Oreochromis niloticus: one gene and its partner. The protein of the gene in region 1 interacts with the protein of each later gene in a biochemical or structural test. Links are inferred from orthologs where the notes say so. Each region holds a gene or a part of one and is shown on either strand. Other genes may lie near its edges.

Region 1 (3,756 bases):
TCAGTACTGCATCTGTATAATTCTGATGTCAGAAATGATCAACAACAAAAAGAGCAGAGGCACAGCTGAGCCTACAGGTTCAGCAGGATGTCTGCTCAGACTTCCTTCTCAAAAATAAACATGAATCCAGACGTAAAAGATGAGATTACATGTGCGCTGAGCTGAGCCTAATGACCATAATTTCATAATTTCTCTAGGCAGTGGTCTAATTGGTGTAATTTGTACAATAAATAAAGATGTGCAGAATTATTCTTTACATTCTGTAAAATGCTTTCCACATCATTTTCCATGTAATGATTTTAAATGTTACAAAATCTGTGGAAAACATCAGCACTAACGTCAGCAGACTGCAGTCTGAATGCCAGCAAACAAAAGGTGTCTTTAGACAGCGTCAGTAGGAGGGTCATTAGTGACACATGTTAATGAGCCATGATAAGTGCAGAGGTTATGAGCTGAAGCTTTTTTGTTTGCTTTGTTTATTCATTCACAGGAGTCGCTCACTCTGTTCGTTTGGATCTCTCTGCTGTTTGTGTTCTTAGTACAGGCCGTGAACTCCATCACTGTGCACACACTTGTTCTATCTGTCTACTGTTTTATTTACAATTTATCTGTTTCATACGGCTTCACCACGGCTGCGGTTATTCTTCAACACAGACTGATATCTGTCTGGCAGCTTTCTTTTAATTCCTCCAAGCAGTCTTCAGGAATAGTTTTCGAGGCTTCTTGAAGGACGTTCAAAGCTTTTCTATCAAGATGATCCCACACCTATTCAATGATTTTGAGATCTGGACTCCGGGGAGGCCAGTCTGTTACTGATAATGTTGTGTTGTGTGTTTTCTATCTTGGTATGCAGTTACTGCATTGGTAGCATCTTTGGGATCATTGTCCAATCAGAGACTTTGAAACACAGCCCCAAACCACGACCGAGCCTCCACTGTTTTCCAAAGATGACTGTAGACCAGGGGGTCCCCAATCCCAGTCCGCGAGGGCCGGTGTCCCTGCAGGTTTTAGATCTCACCCTGGGTCAACACACCTGAATCACATGATTAGTTCATTACCAGGCCTCTGGAGAACTTCAAGACATGCTGAGGAGGTCATTTATCCATTTAAATCAGCTGTGTTGGATCAAGGACACATCTAGAACCTGCAGGGACACCGGCCCTCGTGGACTGGGATTGGGGACCCATGCTGTAGACCAGGGGTGTCGAACTCCAGGCCTCAAGGGCCGGTGTCCTGCAGGTTTTAGATCTCACCCTGGGCCAACACACCTGAATCAAATTATTAGTTTATTACCAGGCCTCTGCAGAACATCAAGACATGTTTAGGAGGTCATTTAGCCATTTAAATCAGCTGTGTTGGATCAAGGATACATCTAAAACCTGCAGGACACTGGCCCTTGAGGCCTGGAATTCGACACCTGTGCTGTAGACCCTCACTTGTGGTACCTCCATCCTGAGCTCCTCTGAACATACTGATGGCGATTTGGATCCAAAAAGGCTAATCTGGATTCTCCACTCCATACGGCCTTCCAGTGATTTTTTAACATTTATTTTTATTTGATTAGCATTCAAATATCTCAATGAATACAGAATTAAGATCTACCACAAAGCAAGAAAGCATGAGACAAAGCTAATCACATGCGTATTACGCCAAGCCTTTAAACAAAAGATCATTTAGTGTGCAGCTCGTGTACACAGGGCTTGAAGCAAAAGAGCAAAACAAACAAACAAAAAACAAAACATAAAACCTTCCACCTTAGATAAGTAAATACATTAAATTAAATTTCATAACAATAATCAAAGCAAAACAACCAAGAGTTTCAGTATTATTATTATTGCTCATTTCATTCTTGAAACTCTAGTTTTAAACATGTTTTTAAACAAGGAAAATGAAGTACACCTTTTTTAAATCACTGTCATAACTATTCCACACATTAACCCCTCTGACAGAAACACATCTCTGCTTTATGTTTGTCCTTTTCTTGTTTTTTCTTGTTCTGGAGTAATTTGGCAAACCTCAGCCTTTCCTCCCTGTTTCCTTAAGAATGGCTTCTTGACAACAACGCTTTCACTGGGAGCATTTCTGATGATGCCTCAGTGACATTAGATGGATCCACTGGAGGGTCAGATGCATCTCTCAGGTCCTGTGTCAGATCTTTGCTGGGTTTCTTCCTGTTTCTCACGGACATGACTTGTAATTTGTCGTTTATACTGTTGTTTATGGTGTACAGTGTTTTTGCAAGAGGCTTGTCAGCAGTGTAAGCATGCACTGCTGAGCTTAAAATGATTTCTTTGCCAGTTCACTGCCAACATTTAAAAAATAAAGAACTTAGGGCTTCATTTAAATCGTTTGTATACCATCAACATCAAAATTTTAATTTTTGGTCACATTTTTCCACCAGTCTTTCGACTTATTTGCTACTAATGCTGAAAATGTCTGTACAGAAATCTTGGTTACTGCAGAGTCCATGCACACCTGCAGTTTGACCCTGTCTAAATAAATGATCTATAGCTGTGTTACAGATGGTTAGAGCTTGATCAACAAGAAATAAAGAGCCGTCATCTGCATTAACTGGAGCGCATTAAGTCGTGCTACGTTGAAGTGGCTCATTGTGCGCTCGGGAGCGGTGTAGCTTTAAGAAGGAGGTGGGCAGCGCTCCGATGACGCATGAATAATCCTGAAAAGATGCTTCTAAACTCCAGGCCGGAGCCAGCGTGTATGATGGCTGTTGACTGAGCTGGAAGAATTTCCGAGCCTGGCACGATCAACTGTTGAGAAAATAGTTTGAACAGGTTCAGAAGCTTGGGAAGCGACTCTAAATGCAGAATAAAACACACCCATTCTGGCAGATTGGCTTCTCCCAAAGACAAATACAGTTATTTACTATTAAGGCATTTACTAACGACAGAGGGCTTTCTGTTTGCAGCTCTATGTGCGCTGCCGAGAGCCAACTTGAGGGAAGGAACATTGGAAGAATATTTCTCTAAAAGTCTTTTGCTGTCTGTCTTGAAGAGGAAGTGCTACCATGCCACATTTGAGAACACTATGTGTCTATTTCTTGGTAGCCCTGAGCCCAGTTATGACAAACACCATCACCGAGGACATAGATGTTTTGGTATTTTTGCCACAAAATAATTCTTATCTTTTTTCATATGAACGAGTCGCACCAGCGATCCATTACGCACAAAAGAGACTGAAGGCGGACGGGGGTCAGTACTCTGGGTTCAACTTCAACATCCAGTTTGAAAACTCCGACTGCCTCTATGATGCTTTCTTCACATTAGCGGACAGGTCTTGCGGACAGAAGCCCGACCTGATCCTGGGTCCTGTGTGCGAGTACGAGGCTGCGGCAGTGGTAAGGCTGGCGTCCCACTGGAACATCCCGGTGATCTCGGCAGGTGCCCTCGCCACGGGTTTCGCGAACAAGAACAAAGAATACTCCCACCTGACTCGCATCGCCCCGTCCTACGTGAAAATGGCAGAGACTTTCACGGCGATGTTTGAACACTTCACCTGGAAGAGCGCTCTGCTGGTCTTCGAGGACGACCGGGAGCAGCGGAACTGTTACTTCACGTTAGAAGGAGTATACCATCTGATGAGTAACTATAACATCGAAAGCTATGTGTTAACTGAAGACAAACCCCTGGACACGGACGAGCTCCTGCGAAGCATCAATGACATGGGAGGTAAAGCAGCTTTCCTTAGTCACTTTAAAGCGTCTCCCTTAATTAGACGGTGTCTGAAATAAGTCTTGAC
Region 2 (3,756 bases), on another chromosome or scaffold:
CCAGAAATATTCCTGTTTACACACAGCCATGCATGATCTGAAAACATGATGTTATCATGTAAAAATATAAAATACAGACCTGTTTATGCTGCATATTTATTTCTACACTTTTGAGAACAGCCTCCCTCTTTTGTCTGTTCAAATACCTTATTGGAAAGTTTGCATCACAATAGCTGTAACAACTCAAATTCACCTATTACTAAATCCTAACGCTTATACAAGTGTAACCATAAGTATTCAAAATTATACCAATATCATATCAGTATCACATGAGCAATTTTGACATGATTATTGCCTAATAAACCCGTCCTGTCCAGCAGATTTATGGAGCACAATCACAATCACAGGTGGGACGTGCAAGTGCGTGTGTGTGTTTATCATAAAATACACTTGATAATGAGGGTGACAAGCTGCAACAACGCCCCCCTGGGAGCCAGAGTCAGGGGAGCCAGAGTCAGGTCCATTAGACCATGAGACCCGGGCTGTCCACGGACGCCCAAGAATAGTGATGACCTGAGGCCACACATCTCGATGACAACCGCGTGAAGGAAGAGGGAGGCCCCACATGGAGCCCCCAAAGCCAAAGGACAAGGGCCCCAGAGAACCAAAGACAATGGGTAACCAACCCCATAAGAGGTTGGCTGTCCCAGCATGAGCCAAAAGAAAGGTCCCAGGTGATGAGAACTGCCTGGCACCTGACAGGGCAGGGCAACCTCACACCCTCCACCACTATGTCCCACAGTGGCCAAGACTCAGAAAGACTCAGACCCAGCCATAATATACACACACACAAATAGGGGGTGGCTGAAGAGCAGAAGGGGGCGGCTGGAGATCAGAAGAACAGGAAATGAATCTCAGTTCTCATGTTTTGTTTCTTCTGCTAATACTGATACTATAGTGTGCACTGCAAGACCCTATGCATGTGTTGGTGCAAGTGAGAGTTTGAGGTGTAAAGGATGAGTATGACTGTATGAACACTAGAGTGCTTTTAAAATTTACAGTTGTGGCATGAACACCTGACAGCTGGTCAACAATGCTCACACTCAATGCCTCAGGTGCCAATCAAATTGAAAAACACACAGCAGTGACGAGTTGTGTGGGGCCACCAAGGTAGCCAGAGTCAGCAGATGGGTCCCAAGTCTGAGAGTCCATCTGGATACAGAGTCATAACACTCAGCCAACAACAAACAAGAGGGACCCATCATTCACGATGTTTAATTTTTAAATACCACAGTTATCATCAGTGCACAGATATTGTGACGTTCACACAATGAACCAAAGGCTGCATACTTTCAAAACCATGGTGGGTGTTTTTATTGCCTAATTTAATAGGTATGCAAATATTAACAGCATATCAGGAATAAAGGTGAATGTTTTGTTCATGTCATGTCAGTGTTGTGTCAGAGTCACAGCAATCTCCTTAATAACTGTCTACTTCAGCCACAGCTGAACCACAGCTTGTAATTCTGGAAGCAGAGCGCTCTAATTTCTAGTTCACCTTGGCTAATTATAAGATGAAGGAAGAATGACGATGAAGGTTGTGATGAAGTTAAAATTACAAGTGAAAATAAGGAGAACAAAGTAAAGCAGGTATATCTTTGAGATCAGATCAATGTGAGGTCACACTCTAATGATAATTACTTTTCCACATTGTGTTGCTTTGTTTGTAATCGCCTGATCTGTTGTTGTGTCCTCTTGTTGTCATCACAACAGTCAACATTTCATCCTGTTATTCCCTCTCAATATTCACAAATCCATAGAAAAGCATGTCAACATGTGCTCTGATTTAAACTATATTTGAAAAAACTCTTCACTTTGTCAAGTAGAACATAAATCAGTTATACTGGGGTGGATGCATTAGTGCAATTATGAAATGCTTGTAGTATTCGTACACTAACTGCATTTGAGAAGACACTGATACCAGTGTAACTGCCTTTGAATGATTTTTAATAACAGGAAATATGTTATTCATGCAGCTACTTTCTTGTCTTTGATCCTCTCTCTGTTTGAATGTCAAAGTATCTGGTCCTTCACAGTGTAATGTTTCCACAAATGGTGTGTTGATTACAGGTATGACATGGTTTCTTACCTTGAGCTGAGCCAGGTCATTAGCAGATGAGGGCCTCCCCAGTATGTGGCCGCTAACCAGTGTTTGCTGACACAGCAGGGCCAATACGCCCCACAGAACCTCAGTTCTCATGTTATGTTTCTTCTGCTAATACTGATACTATAGCGTGCACTGCAAGCTTTTATATACAGACAGCCTCACATACACAACCATCTACATACACTTACCATGCACCAGACAGGCAGTGCCATCATTTTGTAGACGGCCTCAAGTGCATTCTGACACCTCTAAATGATAAGGCCACTGGTCAGATGTCTCTTTAAGTGGCGCTTGGTGGTAAGTGACGTGTGTGTGCGTGTGTGTGTGTGTTTGTGCATGTGTCTATGTATACAGTATATGTGTCTGTGTATCATCATGCTTACCAGCCAGCAGTGGCATGACCTAAGGAGCCATCCTGGATCTCCGAGCTGTGTATTGGGAAGAATGTCGTTTCACTATGCATATACTTAACACTGTCTACACTCCCAAGAATGAAACGTACCATAGTAGGTTAAAACTGCTGCTTGTGGTTGCATGGTTTAGATTAGGACAGGAAGGAAACAATGTTATAGTCAAAGGAATATAAACAGGATTGTGAATATGATTTATTACCATAACTGAAGGCATTTTCTTCCTGTCATGAGTTTGTAAGGCAGGAATAATACAGCCTATAATCTAAACTTGTAGGTGCAGTAGATAAAGACATGAACTGGGAGTATTATAGAAAAGAAGAAGCGTATACTGTAAATATGTTTCAATAATGGGTGACCTTTAATAGAAAGTAGACAAGAATTACATAGACTCAAATTTCAAGAATCAATTATAATACATACGTATTTTATAAATAACAATTTTCACATATTTAAAGAAATATTAACAAAGTAAATATTTGGGTTTTAATGTTTATTCAATGTGTTTCACAGTTAAGAGTTACACAAACACCATGTTCTCATTTTATACTGTAACTCCACAGTATTATTCAGACAAACCAGAGCCTGAGGTCTTTATTAGTTTGTAGGGTCTCCTCGTCTTTGCAATCGCACATTTTGGAAGTGCAGACTTTAATGCACTATGATAAGAGATTGCATGTCATGGGTGGAGCTTTGTCTTGTTCCCTCATTCATAAGGCACATGAATGGCACATGTAATAAGGGATGTGCTTCACACAGACTCCTAATAATCCTGCACATTTGAATTCTAAGGAGTCATTTTAATTTCCCTTTTGGAGACAATTAAAAAACAATTTTAAAAAATCACAAAGCTACTCAAAACTAAACACAACTGAAATAAATAAATAATACTTAGAGAATCATTCATTTCATTTTGCTGAGAAGACTAATACCATTGTCACACACAGACCTCATGTTTAAAACATACAAAAACTTTTTTTTATCTGCTTGTGCTTTTTCTTTACACTCTTGGCATGGGACAATCCTCCATAGCTGATCAAGCTCCCAGAGGACCTTGTAGTACCTATGATGGCTTTCAGAGCTAGAGCTGGGTGATCATGGGGAATGTGACATATTTGGGCAATAAAAGATGAGATTTATGCGGCTTTGCAGCATTACAAATGTGCCACATACACTTGCACAGTGTGCCTTTACCTGCCTTCAGGCTTTGGGCAGACCAGGACATTAATCTGAGTGGTA

Evidence for each region.
Region 2: the proteins of npr3 (region 1) and nppa form a complex in vitro, tested with the Homo sapiens proteins (4 studies listed by BioGRID, with this or other methods). The link is inferred for Oreochromis niloticus from reciprocal best matches to the Homo sapiens genes NPR3 and NPPA.

What each region holds. Positions count from the first base shown.
Region 1 is NC_031977.2:304,933-308,688, reverse strand, and holds the start of npr3 (atrial natriuretic peptide receptor 3), read left to right. Parts: upstream 1-1,591; 5' UTR 1,592-3,025; coding exon 3,026-3,686; intron 3,687-3,756. UniProt on the Homo sapiens protein: Receptor for the natriuretic peptide hormones, binding with similar affinities atrial natriuretic peptide NPPA/ANP, brain natriuretic peptide NPPB/BNP, and C-type natriuretic peptide NPPC/CNP.
Region 2 is NC_031984.2:35,514,736-35,518,491, forward strand, and holds the start of nppa (natriuretic peptides A), read right to left. Parts: upstream 2,298-3,756; 5' UTR 2,201-2,297; coding exon 2,090-2,200; intron 1-2,089.